Linked DNA regions of Oryzias latipes. The protein of the gene in region 2 interacts with the protein of the main gene of each other region in a pairwise test. Links are inferred from orthologs where the notes say so. Each region holds a gene or a part of one and is shown on either strand. Other genes may lie near its edges.

The links.
Region 1: the proteins of SRSF protein kinase 2 (region 2) and fragile X mental retardation syndrome-related protein 1 interact in binary tests that used the Homo sapiens proteins (3 or more experiments, as listed by UniProt). The link is inferred for Oryzias latipes from reciprocal best matches to the Homo sapiens genes SRPK2 and FXR2.
Region 3: the proteins of SRSF protein kinase 2 (region 2) and snip1 interact in binary tests that used the Homo sapiens proteins (3 or more experiments, as listed by UniProt). The link is inferred for Oryzias latipes from reciprocal best matches to the Homo sapiens genes SRPK2 and SNIP1.
Region 4: the proteins of SRSF protein kinase 2 (region 2) and u2af2 interact in binary tests that used the Homo sapiens proteins (3 or more experiments, as listed by UniProt). The link is inferred for Oryzias latipes from reciprocal best matches to the Homo sapiens genes SRPK2 and U2AF2.
Region 5: the proteins of SRSF protein kinase 2 (region 2) and rnps1 interact in binary tests that used the Homo sapiens proteins (3 or more experiments, as listed by UniProt). The link is inferred for Oryzias latipes from reciprocal best matches to the Homo sapiens genes SRPK2 and RNPS1.

The regions. Positions count from the first base shown.
Region 1 is NC_019876.2:28,852,813-28,856,893, forward strand, and holds the start of fragile X mental retardation syndrome-related protein 1, read left to right. Parts: upstream 1-1,278; 5' UTR 1,279-1,929; coding exon 1,930-1,980; intron 1,981-4,081. UniProt on the Homo sapiens protein: mRNA-binding protein that acts as a regulator of mRNAs translation and/or stability, and which is required for adult hippocampal neurogenesis. Specifically binds to AU-rich elements (AREs) in the 3'-UTR of target mRNAs.
Region 2 is NC_019864.2:11,774,241-11,777,753, reverse strand, and holds part of SRSF protein kinase 2, read left to right. Parts: intron 1-2,280; coding exon 2,281-2,381; intron 2,382-3,026; coding exon 3,027-3,134; intron 3,135-3,205; coding exon 3,206-3,275; intron 3,276-3,513. UniProt on the Homo sapiens protein: Serine/arginine-rich protein-specific kinase which specifically phosphorylates its substrates at serine residues located in regions rich in arginine/serine dipeptides, known as RS domains and is involved in the phosphorylation of SR splicing factors and the regulation of splicing.
Region 3 is NC_019874.2:23,603,913-23,608,168, reverse strand, and holds the start of snip1 (smad nuclear-interacting protein 1), read left to right. Parts: upstream 1-1,455; 5' UTR 1,456-1,583; coding exon of another isoform or gene 1,584-1,654; 5' UTR 1,655-1,759; coding exon 1,760-1,899; intron 1,900-4,256. Other genes in the region: dnali1 (axonemal dynein light intermediate polypeptide 1), read right to left, coding at 1-114, 212-381, 933-1,045, 1,252-1,332. UniProt on the Homo sapiens protein: Required for pre-mRNA splicing as component of the spliceosome. As a component of the minor spliceosome, involved in the splicing of U12-type introns in pre-mRNAs. Down-regulates NF-kappa-B signaling by competing with RELA for CREBBP/EP300 binding.
Region 4 is NC_019874.2:19,813,359-19,817,309, reverse strand, and holds the start of u2af2 (splicing factor U2AF 65 kDa subunit), read left to right. Parts: upstream 1-1,144; 5' UTR 1,145-1,719; coding exon 1,720-1,768; intron 1,769-2,558; coding exon 2,559-2,727; intron 2,728-3,123; coding exon 3,124-3,159; intron 3,160-3,379; coding exon 3,380-3,483; intron 3,484-3,951. UniProt on the Homo sapiens protein: Plays a role in pre-mRNA splicing and 3'-end processing. By recruiting PRPF19 and the PRP19C/Prp19 complex/NTC/Nineteen complex to the RNA polymerase II C-terminal domain (CTD), and thereby pre-mRNA, may couple transcription to splicing.
Region 5 is NC_019866.2:11,024,497-11,028,486, reverse strand, and holds rnps1 (RNA-binding protein with serine-rich domain 1), read left to right. Parts: upstream 1-1,178; 5' UTR 1,179-1,270; coding exon 1,271-1,272; exon of another isoform or gene 1,273-1,339; coding exon of another isoform or gene 1,340-1,341; intron 1,342-1,853; coding exon 1,854-1,988; intron 1,989-2,093; coding exon 2,094-2,270; intron 2,271-2,360; coding exon 2,361-2,466; intron 2,467-2,720; coding exon 2,721-2,874; intron 2,875-2,966; coding exon 2,967-3,108; intron 3,109-3,226; coding exon 3,227-3,332; 3' UTR 3,333-3,616; downstream 3,617-3,990. UniProt on the Homo sapiens protein: Part of pre- and post-splicing multiprotein mRNP complexes. Auxiliary component of the splicing-dependent multiprotein exon junction complex (EJC) deposited at splice junction on mRNAs.

The DNA.
Region 1 (4,081 bases), on a different chromosome or scaffold from region 2:
TCTGTGGCTCGTTTTGCTGATCCACCTGATAAGAAAGAAAAAATGAACTGGAAAAACCTGCTTTAATATTGATTGACATCAAATGTATATATTTTAAAACAGGACATTTTGGAATTTCAAAACTGTGATTTATTTTTCTCAATTTACTGCCAGTCTCACTGATGGGTTGATGTCCCTCAGGAAAAAACACAAACTGAGGGGAAAAAAAGCTGTGTTCGTGTGCTGTTAGTACGATCGGACTGTCCTACAAGGAAAACACACATGAACGTCAGAAAAACAACAAATCTTCCAACTTCACCTGAATGCAAAATAACTTTTATGCACCTAAACAAAGGTACATGTATTTGTAGTGCACCATCTTGGGACTCACCAGAAAATAAAACATTAATCTTTCTGGCGAGCCGGATTTAATAGTTTCATGGCTGCATGTGAAACCCTTGGGGTGTAGTTTGCTCACCTCTGCTTTAGGAAAATGTGATAGTATGTATTTATTGTTTATTTAAAAACTAGCATTTTCTCTAGTGTGAAATTGCATTTTTACTATTGACAGAAGCTGCTTTCAAAATAAAAGACGCAAACAGGATCTTCTCAGTGCAGTTCGTGTACTTCCATGAAAGGTTTTTCTCCAAGGAATCTGAGGTCGGCTTCACAAATACTGCAGACAGTGATTCAAACCTAATCTTTAGCCGCAGATCTTCAGAGGAGCAGCACAGACATCAGTAGCAGACATTGCATTAGGGGCCGATACGTGGCGTTTGCGCTATCTGTGCGGTTTCCCCTGCTGGTCCCACAGCTGCCTCCTTGTCCAAATCTGGATATCTTCTCATTCAGCTGCTTCAAATGCCCCAGCATTCTGTTACATTTGTAGTGAATGGGGGAGGGGGGGGGCATCTAGGGGGGATATTAGGAGCATGTTTTATATGCATGAACGTTTTCTTGCAGCTCCAGCATGGTGTATAGTATATATAGTAACCTGTGGTGGTGGTGTTTACACAATAAGTGGGGGTCCTCGCTCATTCATGAGTGGGCTAACCTGGACATGGGAGCCAGTCCATATGAGTAAATGTTTGATTGACACGAACAATCAACCAATGAATGACGTCGGTAGGCAACTGTCTGGATTTCATTGGCCCCTTCGCTGGACCAGCCCTTATTTGCTAAACCAATTAATGGGATCTGGAAGTGATTGTTGACCGTTCTGACCAATCAGAAGGCTAATAGGGGGCAGGACGGGCGGGGCTTCACTGGGAGGGGGCGGGGCCTTTCAGGTCATTCAGTCCCTTTGCGATTCAGTCAATCGGCGTGTTTGCGGGGATTGGTGGCTGCTGTGAGGAGTTGCCGGGCGGTGGTGCTTTGAAAAACGCCTTTGTGAAGAAGAGACGCCGCTGAGAACCACGCCACCGACCGAAGACACGGCCGCCCCGGTGACGACGCGCGCGAGACTGTTCCGCGCGGAGATTACGCCACACGCACGAGCCCTCAAACGCAGCCAGGCTATCTGACTGTAGCATGCTAGCACTCCCGAAAACAGACGCTAGCCTCCAAGCTAATTACCCATCAGTCATCGTCCTCCGGCTCCTTGGGCATCGTTAGCTCGGTTCTGCTGGTGCCGGCGCCTTTGTTGTCGTCGCGAATTCTCCAGAACCGACCCAAAGAGAGCGCTGTTCTCCCCCCTCAGCTGGCAGTGGCAGTAGTAGTCTGCGTCGCCGCGGTTCAGACATCATCCCTGCCATCGGTCCGGACCCGTCACCTCTCTCTGCCCCTTCTTGTCCTCCACCCGGAACACTGGAAGTCCACAAGCGGCCGGATAGCGGCGAGGGGCCGGCGAAGCTGGGGGCGGGAACGTTACCGGACTCGCAGCCGCAGGGAGCCGTTACGCCAACGGACGACAAGCAGCAGCACAGCCGCGCGGACTCACCGGCGACGGGGATGGACGGGCTGGCCGTGGAGGTTCGCGGCTCCAACGGGGCCTTCTACAAGGTAAGCGGGGTTTCTACCGCCCGCCTCAAAGTCCGGCTTGGCCAGAACCGGCTTCGGAGAGCCAGAATAATTGGGGCCCAGCTGAGCCCGAGTCAGTTAGCTGCGGGTTTGGAGCGGTTCGACCGGGTCGGGTTAGCTAGCTTTGGTTAGCGGGGTGAAGCTAGGTCCTCCTACTCGTCGTCTTCACGCGTGGCCCGTTTGGGTCACGTTGGCGGGACAGTTCGGTTGAATTCGGGGTGTTTGGTGGGAGGAAGGCTCGGTCCTGTGAACGGGGTGGGTTTCGATGATCCAGACAGCTGTCGTGAGGTCGGTGAGGTGATGCTCCGTGAAGAAGCGGAGTGACCTCACCGCCACCATCATCATCATCATCATCATCAGTCCTGCTTTGGGCTGCTGATGCCTCACATGAGGAAGGGCGACGGTTTCTGTTTCAGTTCTGGCTGATCTTACTGAGAAACCAAACCTAAGGCTTCCCCCACCCTCTGTGCTTCCACTGAGGGGGGGTTATTATTGTTATTATTCTATTTATTTCAATGGAAACGAGTAGACTCCTCATCTGCTTCCACACATCTGAACCGGTTTGTCCCACAGGCAGACATGGGTCTCCAGTGGTCTGGACTTTGGTAACTCGGGGGTTCCATGTGCTCCATCTACCCCCCTCCCCCTGGGTTCAGTGATGGTCCTAAATTTACTCCTGTGCAGCTTCACCTGTTGTGTGTCTTACTGGTTGTCAGTGCGCCGTTGGCATGAATGACGGTTTTCCACTTTAGCGTGAGGCTCTGACCGCCACAGAACTGCCTCATTATTCGCATTTTAAACAGCAATTAATCCAAGCATTGACCTCCAAACAAAAGGTATTAATCGGAGATGCAACCATTCACTTTCCCCACGTCTCTGTTCGCGTGTTACAAATAGGGCTGTAAGAATATCACTTGTGGTTCCGGTTTATTCTTGATATCTTTTCATTCTGATTCTCTGACCTGAAGTGGATCCAGATCCTCTTGATCCAAACTTCCAGCAGTGAGACTCAGACAGAAATTCCTGCTACTGAACAGTTTTCCAGATTCTTGGATTTCTTCCAGATCATCAAGTTAAATGAAATCTGTGTCCAAACCAACAAGTAAACTAGAATGAATGTCAAATCCATTCACATGTTAGTTTCCTAAACTTCAGCGCTGTTGTGTTTCCACATCCAGAGAATCCAAAGGGAACATTCTAGCACAGGGGTGGGCAAACTCCGGCCCGGGGGGCCACACGTTAAAGGATCTGATCCGGCCCGCCAAACTGGGAAAAGTTAAATTGATCATCCTTACAAAGGTTTTATTTTTCCTGTAATTCATAAATGGTGCTCTGCAGATAAAGTGAGCTTTACTTTGGTGTAGAAAGTAATTCAGCACTCGTGTTGGAAGATCTGTTGTTTTTCAGATGTTTCTGACAATTCCAACCGCACCTGAATGCAGCATTTCTCTAATTTGGCTTATTTCCCCCCTGAGGGACATCAACCCATTGGCTCTAAAATGAGAACAAAATCATCCAAATATGTTGCGTTTTAAAATAAAATCATTTTTTATTAGTTCAAGCATGTTTTCATCCAGATTCCGTGTTATTTCTTTCTCTGACGAGGTGGACGACACGCCACGCATCAGCTGCTGGTCCGGCCCTCGGCGGCCCACGAGTCCCCGCCGTTGTTTAGCTCACTGGATGGTCACATGACTATATTCAAAGTGTTTCCACACGTTGGACTGGAATGATAGACTGATCCGTGTTTGCTGATGTCATCCCATGTGTTGTCAGCGGTGATTGGTCGTTTTCAATCCAAATGGTATTTTCCAATATCAACATAAGCGATTTATTTCAATGATTTTTACGACTTTGATTCGATGAACAACTTTCCTCAGGCGGATCCATCAGGTTGGATCGTAGGAACAGAAATCCGTTCATGGTTTCACCCCCACAAGAGTAAACCAACCTAAATGCTAGAACAGACTGAGCATCAATGAGTGTAGCTTAATGTCAGGATTGAGTTGAGGGTTAAATTCCCTTTTGCCTGCAGTGACTGCAAGGCACCAGGCGTGGCAAACAAAGGACCTCGGTACCGGTG
Region 2 (3,513 bases):
TGAAACATTTTCCACATACACAAAATAACCAGTTCTCTGAAATATTGTTCCCCAATCCTTCTAAATCTGTGATAGTGAGCACTTCTCCTTTGACAAGACAATCCATCCCACCTCACAGGTGTGCCATATCAAGATGCTGATTAGACAGCATGATTATTGCACAGGTGTGCCTTATACTGGCCACAAGAAAAGGCCACTCTGAAATCTTCAGTTTTGTTTTATTGAGGGGGTCAGGGGACTCAGACAACCAGTCAGTATCTGGTGTGACCACCATTTGCCTCATGAAGTGCGACACATCTCCTTCGCATAGAGTTGATCAGGTTGTCTATTGTGGCCTGTAGAATGTTGGTCCGCTCTTTTTCTATGGCTGTGCGAAGTTGCTGGATATTGGCAGGAACTGGAACACGCCGTCGTATATGCCGATCCAGAGCATCCCAGACATGCTCAATGGGTGACATGTCCGGTGAGTATGCTGGCCATGCAAGAACTGGGATGTTTTCAGCTTCCAAGAATTGTGTACAGATCCTTGCAACATGGGGCCGTGCATTATCATGCTGCAACACGAGGTGATGTTGTTGGATGTACGGCACAACAATGGGCCCCAGGATCTCGTCATGGTATCACGCTGTCTGCCATCTGCCCTGAACAGTGTAAACCGGGATTCATCCTTGAAGAGAACACCTCTCCAACGTGCCAGACGCCATCGCATGTGAGACTTTGCCCACTCAAGTCGGTTACGACGACAAACTGAAGTGAGGTCGAGACCTCGATGAGGACGACGAGCATGCAGATGAGCTTCCCTGAGACGGTTTCTGACAGTTTGTGCAGAAATTCTGTGGTTATGCAAACCGATTGTTTCAGCAGCTGTCCGAGTGGCTGGTCTCAGACGATCTTGGAGGTGGACATGCTGGATGTGGAGGTCTTGGGCTGGTGTGGTTACACGTGGTCTGCGGTTGTGAGGCCGGTTGGATGTGCTGCCAAATTCTCGGAAACGCCTTTGGAGACGGCTTATGGTGGAGAAATGGACATTCAATTCCCTAGCAACAGCTCTGGTGGACATTCCTGCTATCAGCATGCCAATTGCACGCTCCCTCAAAACTTGCGACATCTGTGGCATTCTGCTGTGTGAAACAACTGAAGATTTCAGAGTGGCCTTTTCTTGTGGCCAGTATAAGGCACACCTGTGCAATAATCATGCTGTCTAATCAGCATCTTGATATGGCACACCTGTGAGGTGGGATGGATTGTCTTGTCAAAGGAGAAGTGCTCACTATCACAGATTTAGACAGATTTGTGAACAATATTTCAGAGAACAGGTTATTTTGTGTATGTGGAAAATGTTTCACATCTTTGAGTTCATACCATAAAAAATGGGAGCAATAACAAAAGTGTTGCGTTTATATTTTTGGTCAGTGTATTTTCATTTGATGTCTGTTTTTTATGTTTGCGCCGTGTTTCAGAGATTTTTTTTTTTTATGAGGCTACAGCTTCAAAATTAGAAATCTCGTCCTCAATGTCACAGAAAAACATCTACTGTAAAGTGAAAAAGTCCAGTGACAGAAAACCGTTTGAAACTACATTAATTTGATTCCTTTTGACCAATAGTCTCCTTTTTTTGAATGTAGATAGATAATGGTTCCTGTTATCTTTGCTTTCATCGCATCCTGTGGAATCCCAGCAGAAGAAAATAGAACAAATAATAAATGCTGAATTATAGCTTTTGCAAAACATATGCTTTAAACTGGAAGAGTTATCTTTCAGTGCTGCTATGATGTACAAAAATATTTACCATCCATGTTAACTTAAAGATGAATAATGGCTTAGATTAGTATGTTAGGTTAATATTGTTTTTCTTATTTTGTTCAGTAAGTTTCCCTGTGGATTTTACAGGCTATTTTTAAGTGATCTTTTAAATCTGTAATCCAGGATTATATATTTGTAAAAAAATAAAGTGCCATATGATGTAACATGTCAGTTTTTTTAATCTAGATCTTTCTTTTCAATCTCAACCAACACATGATTGTTTTTACATTGAATATTTTTTCATAATACTTTATTTGTATGCTGATAAGAATCACAATTTTGACTAATTTTCTCCCCAGATTGTTATTTCTGATTCAGCGTCGGTTCCGTCGGTTTAGTTTCATAATCCTAACAGCTTTTGAAGTAGATTCTGGTTTAGGAATTTCAATAAAATCTCTTGAGAGTTCATTTTGTGTCTGTGCTGTGTGTAGAAACCCTTTAATACTGTGTAAACCGTTTCCTTCTGTCCCCCTTCAGTCAGGGCCAGAGCTGCAGACCTCCTGATTAACCCTCTAGACCCCCAAAACGCCGACTCCATCAGAGTCAAAATCGCTGACCTTGGAAATGCCTGCTGGGTGGTAAGACGCAATGTGAAATAATCTGACTGAGTTTGATTCAAACCAGGATTGTTTTAGTGTTATTTAATATACATCTGCTGTTTTTGATAGAGCTGCGGTAACAAGACAATTTCCGCTCTGTGGGATGAATAAAGTTCTATTCTATTCTATTTTATCCTACTCTATCCTAAATCCTTTGCACGGGAGTTCAGAGTTTCTTCAGACTTTTTATGCATAACAGTATAAAAAACAGCTTACAGTCTGCAAACATTTCTAATAAGAAAAAAAAATCCAACACAACCACTACAATTTAGTGGGGGAAAAAAACTAATATTTTTAGGTTGATTTGCTTTGCAGATTTGAGTAAATTTGACTGATGGAAAGAAGGATTTTGCTCAGAGTTAGGTATTTTTTCTCAGTTTCATAGTTGTTTTCTTCACGATCCCTCTAAATGAATTCTAAATAAAGGTGTCCTCTGTATTCACAAATGCTAGAAGCAAATTCATTAAATGTTATAAACAAATTTCCAAGATGTTAAAACTCCCAAACTCAGATCAGCAACGACAACAATCCTGGTCTCAAGTCAGTCACCAGGACAACACGATTTGATCATTATTTCTACCCTAAACTAAAGTCATTTTTCCTCTTGTTTCCTCTCATCAAAAGCATAAACACTTTACTGAGGATATCCAGACGAGGCAGTACCGGTCCATCGAGGTCCTGATTGGAGCGGGCTACAGCACTCCGGCTGACATCTGGAGTACTGCCTGTATGGTGAGGAAGGTTTATTAAGTAAACCGTCCACTGAAAGGAATCGCTGTTTTACTGTTTGCTTGTCTGTTTAGGCCTTTGAGCTGGCCACGGGAGATTACCTGTTTGAGCCTCATTCTGGAGAGGATTACTCCCGTGACGAAGGTGAGGATTTAAATCTTCATGTCCTACATCCTATGGATCCAGATTCATACTGTGATTCCCATGTTTGTGTATGAAAGCAAAGAAGCAGACACATCTGTGCTTTAAATACAGTGGTGGACAAAATTGTTGGTACCCCTCAGTTAAAGACAGAAAGTCCCCAATGCTCACTGAAATGACTTGAAACATTCAAAAGTAACAATAAGTTAAAATGTATTGAAAACTAAATAATCAAAATCAG
Region 3 (4,256 bases), on a different chromosome or scaffold from region 2:
TGCTCTCAGACAAGTTTTGGTAGGCTCTTATCATCATCTGCATCTCATTTCTGACCCGGCACAACAGCAGACCTCTCTCCGCACATTCAATGGTTACCTGTCTGATGAGTTCATCTCAAAAAGGAAATAAGATGCATAATACATTTATATTTCATAACTATCCACATTTTTACTCGGAGATGAGCTTTGTCCCGACCCTCCGCTGTCTTACCGAAACACTGGGAAAACAGAACCCAGCGGATGGGGCAGATGCCAGTTGGTTTGGCCTTTTTCTGCTTTAGCTTTATGTTCAGCTGCTCCTGCAGATGAATGACATCTTTCCTCGTGGTAATGGCTGTAGATACTTTCTGCACCCACTGTTGGTCCCCCTCTGTCCATTCTCTGTAATGGTAAGAAATCAGAATTTACTTGGAAAATCATTTGACAGTAACTTTTGGATGCTTTCGGGATCTTAGATTGTGTGTCAGCTTTTTATTTTTGAATTAAGTAAAAAGCAGACGTATGTGTGATAATGCACCTGTGGGCAATATTTGCTGTCAAGACTTGATCTTTTTAAGTTGATGAAAGTTGGACATTCACTGAGCTACAGGACCTTTCCTCTTTTCCTTGTTAGACATTAGGATTTGTTGGTGATCTTTGGATCACATAAAAACTACATTTGTTCCAACTGTAGCTGTTCCACTGTGTTGTTTAAAGTTTTTTGAGTTACATGGCATGAAAAGCATCTGTTTTACAAAAAAAAAGCCTGATTTTATTTGATTTCCCAGATTTGACTTTTGAGAAATAAAAGTTGAGGATGGTCATTGTGCTCTGGTGCATGCCACAGTCTATGTTTGTCTGCATAACTTAGGAAGAAGAATAAATAATAATGAATCTAGAATAAATAAATCTGAATCGTTGTGCTTAGGTGAGCTTTTGAGGTTTTCTTTTACCTAGGTGGTAAGATGGCATGCAAAATGTTTTCATCCAAATTCTGTGTAGGGGGAGATGGAACACCTGCTGCAAAGCTGGGAGCTGGAAGGTTGCTCAACGTTAGAGTACGTCCCTATTAACGAAAAAAAAGGGGGGAAAATTGTACATTTATTTGTATTATTATTTTTTTGTAATTTCTTTTATTATTTTTGAAGATTTTATTTGGTAGCCTTTCATTGTCCACAATAAAGAAATTATGGAAGTACAATGAGATTTCTAGCCTTAATTGATATAGTTTCTGGGCGCCAGTTAAATAGATCATTAACCATCAAGACTTACCTTTTGAGATTTTTTATCTCCTTTTGTTTTTACCAATATCGGATTATCGTATTTCAAGAGGGACTCGCCAAAAGAAGTCATCGTTTTGAGGTGAGAGAGCAAGTTACACGTTTTGTTAGAAATACCGTTTCACTGTTTGTGTTGTCATGGCGACACTTTTTCAAAATAAAATAATATTGATTTGAACAAAGTTTCATTTAAGAATACTTTTTATGTAATACGACACGTATATGTGTCATCAATGCTTCAGTCTATGACAAAAAAAACTTGAACATCACGTTTTCCCCATTTAAAACGAATTAGGCCATGGCGGAACCAACAATAGGGAGCACATGGAGCACGTCGAGGGGATTAATTTGAGTCACCGGAAACGGAAGTTTGTTTTCACAACGCCAGAAGTTTGGTAACGCATCAAAGGTTTTATTTTTTATCTTGGCTTGTCTTTGTCTAGCTACTGTGTCGTGTTTTGGTTGAATTGAGCTCAAATTTATTGGAAAAATAAACTAAAATGACTAAAGAAAAGCGAGACAGAAGAAGGGAGTCTCCAGAACGGCAGCCCGAAGTGAAGATAAAGCAGGAGAAACTGAGCCCGAGTAGCACTAGCAGGCCACACAGATCACGCAGTCCACAGGGGAGACGAGCTAGCAGGTAAATGTCTGAAGGTTTTACTACGATTCATGACGTAAAACTGTCTAAATATAAAACAATTCACAACATTATTTTTTTGTTGTACTTTCGCTGATGAAAATCTAGCTTCCGGTTTTCATTTTTGACGGTTACGGAATAAACACTTAACGTAAGGGATACCCGGTTGCTCCAAAAGAGTTTTGATCTGAGGTTTCTGTAAATCAAATAATCCTTAACACGTTTGTGTCAAAAGTAGTATAAGTATCTGACTCGTATCAAGTAAATCTTGTTTATTGTTCTAAGATATTTTATTACCGTCTTGCTGATAAATCAAGGTTAGACTAGAGACATAAAATTTGCTTTAATTTTTTTTTTTATTGAAATATACTCATTACAAAACTCTGGCAGACACAACAACACAATGATGCAAGGCACAGCTCTTCACGAAAAACAAAGATAAAAAAAAAACAAGAATGTATACATATATAAAAAAAACTATCAGCATAAATTAAAATACAAGGCAATCAACAATCTGGACCCTAGATTTGTAACCATTCTGTAGCAGATTTACAAATGTCATCAATGAAAGAATTTGAGTTGTGAATACATTTCAATGAGGATAAATACAATCTGACTTCATTTTTAAAACACAGGAAATTCGGCCGATCTTTTTTCCACTTTTGCTTATGAATATATTTTCCCAAAATCAGGAGGATGTTCACTATTTGTTGGCTCTTTTGGCAACTTACTGTTTTAAAACAAAATATGTTTTTCTGTGAATTGTATGTTGTTAATTTTTTGACTAAGCCAATTATGAAAATCTTGCCAGAATCTTTCACTGGTCTGGACATGAAAAAAACAGGTGTTGGGTTGTTTCTGGGGTTACCTGACAGAAATCACACGGATCAACCTCAAAGCCAAATCTACTTCTCAATGTCTCTGCCGATGGGTAATAATTGTTTATAATTTTGAACTGCATTTCTTTAATTTTGGGAACCACTGGCCATTTTATGAATTTCCATAGTTGAGCATCTGATGTGACAGGTGTCTCAGTTATTTTATATTTCACTTTTCTGTTAAAGTCATGGTATAATTTACCTCTAAAGGATTTGTTTAGCAATTTATTATCACGTTTTTTTTCACTAAATTTTATTTCTCCTATTACTAAATTTGGTAGTTTAATTTGAACATAGGAAGACAATATTGTATTTTTTATTAAATGTATTGAAGCAATTGGAATTGCTCAGCAGGTTTTCTGAAATTCCTCGGTTGAGCATTCAATATCATATTTACCTTTGAAGTCTCTTAACTGAAGAATTTCTCCATTTGAATCAAGAATATCACTTACAAAATGATCTTAAGATAAATATACTTTATTGATCCCAGCTTGGGAAATTGGGTTGATGCAGCGTCGGCGTTAGGCTCAAGGTACAAACATACAAACAATAGATGACAACAGAGAACCAGAACAATTTTATTTATTTTTTTATTTGAAATGGTTTATTTCAAGCAATTAAGTAGAAATAATACACAACAGCAATATAATCATCAGTTATACATTCATACAGTAACTAATCAAACTTAGGATAATTATACATATTAATAAATATTGCTTGAAAGGGAGTGGAAGGAAGCGAATTTATATAATCCCACCCCGTTATACTGTAACCATTTTATTACATGATTTATCAATATCCGGTTCCCAGTTTATATCATACAGAATTAAAAATCATAAGATATCGATAAAGCACATGACAAAGATGAATTACTTAAGTATTACGTCAAAAATAACTATTTTAGAAATCAACATGGCAAATGCAGATCAGTCATCTGAAATATATGCAGATTATGTTACTTATAAAAGCCATTCATATGAATAAAACATAATACTATATCAGTAAAGTAGACACAACACTGTTTCAGGAATTTTCATAGCAAAATTTCATCAAGTATCAAAAGTTAAAAACATGTGCAAAATTATGCTACATTAGGAAAGATTTTTGAATCAATTTATCAATTTTTGGAGAAAGTGAAATAAAATCATTAAAAGGCAATCAATTTAACAATTTTCAATAAGTCATTAATCATTTGTTTTACTTTTTTAAATATTTTTTTTGTATTTTTATTATTATTTTTTTTATAATAAAGTAATGCTGTAGGGGGAAAGTAAAAAGGGTCCATAACTGTCGATTGTCCAAGGTTGGTCTTTCTTCTTTAACTGATAACAGCCGTACTTCTGGGTTCAAAACAGAGTTTATAGTTCTCTTCGATGTTATGACTGCAGACATTAGATTCAGGTCCATATCCTTCTTCAGCTGATATCAGCGACGGTGAAAGTTGAGGTCAAGTTGTCTGCAGGTCAGAACTCTCTGCTGTTA
Region 4 (3,951 bases), on a different chromosome or scaffold from region 2:
AATAGACACATCGTCACCTGTATGTAAAAAGACAACAAAATAGGAATTGCAAAGCACTGACAGCTTATTATTTGACATTTATGAAATGTTGTTGGTAAAGGAGTGAATACGTTTAATTTACTATAACGCCAAAACGACCAACTGCCATCACAGCAGACAACACTCACACAGGATGGCAGCAAAAAATGATCAATCCATCATTACAGTTCAATGTGACGAAACACTTTGAATTATGCAAAGACATGTGACCATACAGCGTGGCAGAATGTTCTAAAAATGTTCCCTTTGGATTATTTTGATGTGGAAAAACATTAGTGGGATGAACTTTATGAAAATAAAATGTGAATGGATTTTCCATTAATTCTTGTTTACTTGTTTGTTTGTTTTTACACTTGATTATCTTGCAAGAAATAGAAGGAATCTGGAAAACTTCACCTGCACCGTTCAGTCTCCAGGTGTTTATCTCTAAGTATCACTGGTTGAATTTTTGGCTAAAGATGTCCTCGATCGAGTTTAGGCCAGTGAATCGGATCAACTCAGATCATTCAAAATGAACCAATATTAACTATGAATCATATCAGCAAACATGAATTATGATATGAATAAACACCATGAATCGTTACATCCCTACTAGAAAGACGAACTCTAAGAAATTAATATTTTGCATAACAGGGCCTGATAGAGCTCATCTAAACATGATCTGTCCTGCCTGTCTGTGTGTAAAAAATGGGCTATTGCTTGATGAACCGTAAATCATTCAAAGTATACAGCAGGATGCTGACAATTCTTCTGAATCTATCCGCAGTGCTTAGGGCTGAGTTTTGTGTTGATCTTTCTTAAGGATCTATCACTAAAATCCAGTTTGTAGTTGTTTAATTAAATTGTGTAAATGACCGTTGATTGAAACACAAAAGCTTTAAGCATAACATTTAAAATCTACAGTAAGTTTTGGATATTTAACTATATTAACATGTATTTTTAACTGAAACACGTCGTTTTTAAGTTCATACATTTAGAAATATTCTCCCAATAACCATTACAGAGAAAGTCACATGCAGGTGTTCTGTTGTTTTAATCAGAATTCAATCACAGAATTGTCTCCATGCAGCTCCAAACACAAGCCAGAACCACACGACGTTCTTCTACCGGAAACGCAGCGTTCATCAACTTCCGATGTCACGGGGTATCTGGGAGTCGGAGCAAAAAAGCGGGCACAACAAAATCTTTGCTGTTTTTGTAGACTTAAAACAGCAGAAGGCGTAAAGATTTGGATTATTGCGTCACATAAACACATATTGTGGGCCTGTGACTAAGCTGGATTCGCTTTGGGCTTCGAAAATAGTCTCATTTATTCGGATTTCGTAGCCTAGCTAGCAGCTGAGCCTCCTCGGCGGTGTGGAGCAGCAGGCCTTTCTTCTGGACTTTGCTACAAGCTAGTTAGCTGGCGTTAGCGGGCTAACTTAAGCGAGCACGTTTTTCCTTTTTCCGTATTTGTATGTGTTACATTTGAGCAAATACCACGTCACTAATGTGTGTGATACCACCTATCGTTTGATAGGTTTGTTTTTGAGCCGTGTTTTTGCTAACCGAGGTTAACTTTCCGAAGCGCTATCATTGAAGCGCTTGAATCTCAAAGTGCTCACTTTCTTGCTAGCTTAAGCTAGCCTCCGCCAACCGAACAACGCAGTCTTCGAAAGCGTAGTAGGTTTCTATCCAGAGATGTCGGATTTCGACGAATTTGAAAGACAACTGTCTGAGAACCATCAAGGTAAATGGACTAGTTACACAATTAACAATGATTGCAAAAGAGGTACATGTCATTTTTATCTCTATGGTTAGCACGTCGCGGACGTGTCTGTTTAACTGGCCTATGATCAAATAGCCTCTAAATGTACAACGCAGCTTTACAAGTTTATCGATGTTTTCCTGTAATCTGGCTTTCGGTACTGTTGTATAATGCTATTAACATTAAAATGTTTTCAATTTTGTATTATCTTGAACTCCATCGTGGTATTATTATGGCATGTCCGATTCATGTGGCGTGTAATAATATTTAAGCGGTGCTTTCTGTCATTGAATTATCATTCAGCCGCTCGTGCTCGATAGTTCCTTTTTACAAGTTCAACTGTTTATCTTTATACATTCTCTACTGCAGTTTTTGCAATAGTCCTTTCAGTTTCATATTGTGTTTATGCTACTGATACAAATTCTTGCTTCTTTAATATAGCTGGTTTCCTGTACTCTCCTCTTTTATCTTCCTTTTTTTCCCACCTATCTGCAGATGCATCGTCTTGTAGCATGATTAACATAAAAATGTACTTTTAAGAGAAATAACCTCATTTATGCACATTTTCCTTCTACTTGATTACTACTTGATTTATCTTTTCACTTTGTGTTCATACCTGTAAGACCATTTATGAAAATTAAAATTAAACATCGAGAACATGTCTAAATTCAGCTCGCTTTAATTTGCTTTTATGAACAATATTTCTGGGGTTATGTTTTTTAAGAAGATTTTTGTTTTAATGAAAAACACTTTATACTTTTATACTTCATAGTTACTGAGCACCGCTCTTTTGCCACAGAAAGGGACAAAGAAAACCGGCACCATCGTCGTTCTTCATCCCGCAGCCGCAGCAGAGAGAGGAAGAAGAGGAGCAGGGATGGCGGGGAAAGACGCAGCAGGGACCGCCGTGGGGACAGTAAGGAGCGGAGACACCGGCGCAAGTCAGTACATCTACACCAATCCTCCTGTTTAAAAACAAGCTGTTATGTGTAAAATCTCTTATCAACTGTCCAGCAATAACATGGCAACGTTAAGTCTCTTTATTAACTTTATTGTAATGTCTGCAGTCTACATGCATCATTACATTGTTCACACAAATGCACCAGTTATGTATGTTTGTTCTGATGAGCTTTTGATTTCATTTGATTTATTCGTTTTTTTTTCCCTACTTCTTTTGAAATTAGAAGAGAATTCTCACTTGTTTGTTTTGAAGTGCATTGATATTCAAGTGTGACTGGAAATGCAGTGTTTTTTATTTTATTTATGAATCATAACTCAAAAAGTTTGTTTGATTCATATAAGAAATCTAAATCTCTTCCTCCAATTTGTCATTTCAGCTCGCCACCCGCCTACCCTCAAGAAAATACTGCAAGGTAACAGAAAACTTAACACAAAGCTGGCAGTTGCAGAAACTGTACATTGACACTCCTATCACTTTAAAGACAATTTACACATGTTCAAGTAATTTGTTTTTGGGTATTGTCCATTTTTCTGTCTTTTTTGTCACTTTTACTATGTTGAAATCGATGCAACCTTCTTTAAAAAAAAGTTCATTTTCTCCTAATGTTTATTTTTTTTTCTTCCCTCTTACAGCCGATCTCCCCATCGTGAAAAGAAGAAGAAGATCAAGAAGTATTGGGATGTTCCTCCTCCTGGTTTTGAGCATATCACTCCCATGCAGTACAAAGCCATGCAAGGTAACTCTTATCTGTTTCCAGTGTATTTAATTCACAAATGTGTACACATAACATGCTAAAGGCCTGTTCACACCGGGACGAATTTCGCCGGCGATTTTCGCCGACGTTTAACGCCTCGTGACTAAACAAAGGGCACGAAAAAACGTGCACGCGTTAAAGCGTAAAAAAAAAAACGCCTCGGGTTCGTTTTTTTTTCGACGCGACGCGTCGCGTCGAAATCTACTCGACCAATGAGAATGGCACTTTTGCTCACGTGTCTGGAGCTTCTGAAGTTACAGTAAAACACAACTTGGGGGCGCTCAAACACAAAACTGCCTTGCTGAGCACACATACCAGCGAAGAAGATAGACGCCAAGTAGCGTCTACACAGCCGCGAAGCAATAATGACGGACATTCTAAAATATCCCCGAACCAAGCACCAGTTGGAGCTACTGGTGCTTGAAATATTCATGTTTTCTTTGTTTGATT
Region 5 (3,990 bases), on a different chromosome or scaffold from region 2:
GAAGATGAAAAGAGAAAATCAGTTACACCCCTGTTGGAAAATCTTGTTTCAAATTTACTCAGGAGAATAACAAAGTCATATGTGCCTTGTTTCAACGAGATGTTATTTCAGAACATTTTGTTGTCTTTTAGTGAAATACTTTTGTCTCTGACTTGCTATGGAAAGAACTTTCATTGCATCAGAAATAGTTGATTAATGACAAGATGAGCGATATCTCCTCTCAATTTCTGCACAGAATAATACTAGTCAAGATATTTAACATTGTAAAATATATTAAAGTTTGTTAACATTCTGTGAAAGAAAACCCAAAAACTCAGTCACCTACTTTGGAATTGTAATATTTATTAAAAATCTTTTGATTAGACTGTACATATTTAAAAAATTGCAACAATAACTCAAAATGCGATGCTCCAGTGCTGTGACTATATGTAAGGTCTGCATGGATTTGTATTATAACTTTTTCATTCATCCACACTTGTGTCGTGTATGTTTACAAAAAAAGTTGGCAAGAAAAAAAAAACAACAACGATATATATATATATATATATATATATATATATATATATATCGTTTTAAGATCTGAATTTACTAAATATTAAATTTTTCCAAAATACAAAGAAATCCATTTTAAAATAATGTATGCAGTCTATCCATACAAGGAACTACTATACATATACGTTTTGGTTTTCCAGAAAATAACTGTTCTTTCTGTGACATAAATATAGAAACACTTGATCATCTGTTTTTTTGAATGTATATATGTTAACAGTTTTTGGGAGAATTTCTTTTCTTGTTGCTCCTCAAAGTTTCCCTTTCCTATTTATATTCAATTACAAAAGCAGATCATATTATTTGGAGTAGTTTCTGTTGATAATATATTTGATTTGACATTCAATACTTTATTAATATCTGGGAAATTTTTCATTGATGAGAGCAGATTTTCAAAAACAAAACCATTATTCAATACATTTCATATTGAGATCAGTTTATATTAAAAATCTCTGATATTAATAAAAAGCAAAAATGCAATAAAATGTCTATTTTCATTGAAGATCACGCGTTGTATGAAAATCCCTTGTATTGTAAACTACAATTATATTATTTTTATTTATTTATTTATTTCTATTTTCTTCTTTTTTCTTTTTTTCTGTTGTAGCTTTTGTGTGTGCGTTTGTTTAAAGTTAAAATAAAAAATTACGTAACATCCGCTTTCATCATCACTTCGCGACCTCACACCAGACCGCAAGTGAAGCCATTTTTGGCCGTTGGAATGTAAGATTAACCTTTTTACGTATTTTCGATCTAAATAGCTTTAATAGCGGAACTTGTTGATTTAAACATGTAAGTTCGGAGGCTTTTTTATTTTGCGCGAAAGTTCCTTATAAAGGAAGAAGTCGTTTAACCGCGACGCGGGTGTAGTTTAGTCCCTTGTTGTGCTCAAAAAAAACAACGAGGGAACGAGTCCAAATAGAAGGTTTTTTTTTTTCTGAATGAAAATATTAGTGTAAGGGAAAATATTATGTAATTTACGGTCCTAAACATTTGGAATTAAGCTTAAAATAATTACAATTTATTGTGCACATGTTAAATGTCGGTAAAAAAAAAAAAAACACCGAAACAATTTTGAATTAATTAGATAAAAATGAAATGAAAAAGTTATATATATTCAAGTAATTAACGAGTTAAATTTAATTAATGACCTTTTTGGTGCAAAAAATTTGTATCTAGCACATTTTAAGGCTGTTTCTCTCTATCCAATAAAAACATAAATCACAATCCTTTACATAAACCTAGACATAATCACTTTTTTAGGTTTCTAGGTCTCTAATTTATGTGCTTTCTCGCCACATCAGGGCACCATTACCGATAAAGCGAAAGGAAGATGAAAAGAAAAACAGGGAAAAAGAAAAAATAAAGGAAGGAGACAAGGAAAGGGGTCGCGACAAAGCAAAGAAACGCCGCAGTGCTTCATCAGGCAGCAGCAGCAGGTGAGCTATTTTTTCTTTCTTATATTTAAAAATATAATATAGCATCCTGTCCTGGATGTTCATTCCCAACTAAATCATTGTTTGTTTTTGACCTTCCACATCTAGATCTAGCTCATCCTCCAGCAGCAGCTCTGGTTCTAGCTCTGGTTCTTCAAGTGGTTCCAGCTCCTCTTCCAGTCGCTCCGGATCCTCTAGCTCTCGGTCTTCCTCCTCCTCCAGCTCTTCGGCCTCTCCAAGTCCCAGCCGCAGACGCCATGACAACCGACGCCGTTCACGATCTCCGTCAGTCCATTTTCTCAGACATGAGACAAATATTTATATTGTATCTCAAAAATATTGACAATATTTATTCTGTAATTTTTTATCCTGCAGTTCTAAAACACAGAAGAGAGGAGAAGAAAGAGAACGAAGAAAAAGAAGTCCCACCCCTAAACCCACAAAGGTTCACTTGGGAAGGCTGACCAGGAATGTAACCAAGGCAAGCTAAAAAAACAAACAAAAGCTAAATCTTTGATTTTTAAAAAAAAAATTCTAATTCAATAAAAGCAGATCTTATTTTTCATGATAACTAGTTAGAATGAAATATTCTTTATGTTTATTGTCTGTCAAGATGTGCGCCTAAAACTGCAAGAATTAAATAAAAAGCTAAATATTTTGTTTTTAGTTTTTTTTAATGGAACAATCCTTCACAAAATAATGGTTAAAAACTAAATGTATGTTTCAATTTACTAGGAACACATCCAGGAGATTTTCTCTACATATGGAAAAATTAAAGCGGTTGACATGCCGGTGGAAAGGCTCTTCCCAAACCTGACCAAAGGCTTTGCTTACGTGGAGTTTGAGACCCCTGAAGAAGCCCAGAAAGCTCTTAAACACATGGATGGAGGTAGGAAAGAATCATTTAAGGGGCTGGAGAAATCATATTGACGAACATAAACTTGGTCAGGTAAAAACAAACCTTCCTGATGACTTTTTTAGGTCAGATTGACGGGCAGGAAATCACTGCAGCTGCTGTGCTGACTCAGCTGATCCGTGGTCCTCCACGTAGACTGTCTCCTCCTCGAAGAATGCCGCCACCTCCACCGATGTGGCGCCGCAGCCCACCACGCATGAGAAGAAGGTTATTTAAAAGCTTTCACTTGTACCTTTTTAATATTTTTAACGTTTTATTATGCGGTCCATTGAAACGGAATCTTCTCCCACCTACTGATGCTCGTCCTTTTTTTGTGCCTGTTTAGATCACGCTCCCCAAGGAGGCGCTCGCCACCACGTCGCCGCTCTCGCTCTAGGTCTCCTGGCCGCAGGCGCCATCGCTCTCGTTCAAGCTCAAATTCCTCCAGATAGAAAGTTGTCTTTACTCTAAATACTCGCCGCAGATCAGCTGCAGTTTTCGCATTTCCTGGCTCCTCGGACACAAAGGATCTATATAAATTGCAGTAAATTTAGCTGAGTTCGTAGTGACAAGGAGACGAGAAAAATTCTTTCTTTTTTTTTAAATTTTGTGCTGAAAATTGACTGTAGTTTTTATGTTATGTCTGATGACATCTAACAAGATTTTGTGATTCCTTCATTCGAGTTGATTTTTTTTTTTGAAGAATTTTGAGAATAAAACCTATGAAACATCTTGATTCTGATTTCTGTCATCTTGTGATCCGGCTCAACTATTATTCTGATTTCTAGTCACAAAAATACTTTTAACCCTTATGTGGTGTTCGGGTCTGTGGGACCCGTTTTCATTTTTTATCAAAAGAAAAATGATACAATTAATTAATTTTTCAAACTCAGACTCACTGGCCTTGGCTCATTTTCTGTGAAGAACAGATATCAGAATACATTTTTAATGACCACACACCGTATACCCCCCCCAACACATTTCTATTACATATAAGATGTTCGGGTCCACTGGACCCAGGGCTAATAGAAGTGTGGAAATTGATGTTTTTATGTACCTACACTCTGTCCTCCACCTGTCTGGGCCTGCTGTGTGTGTGTGTGTGTGGGT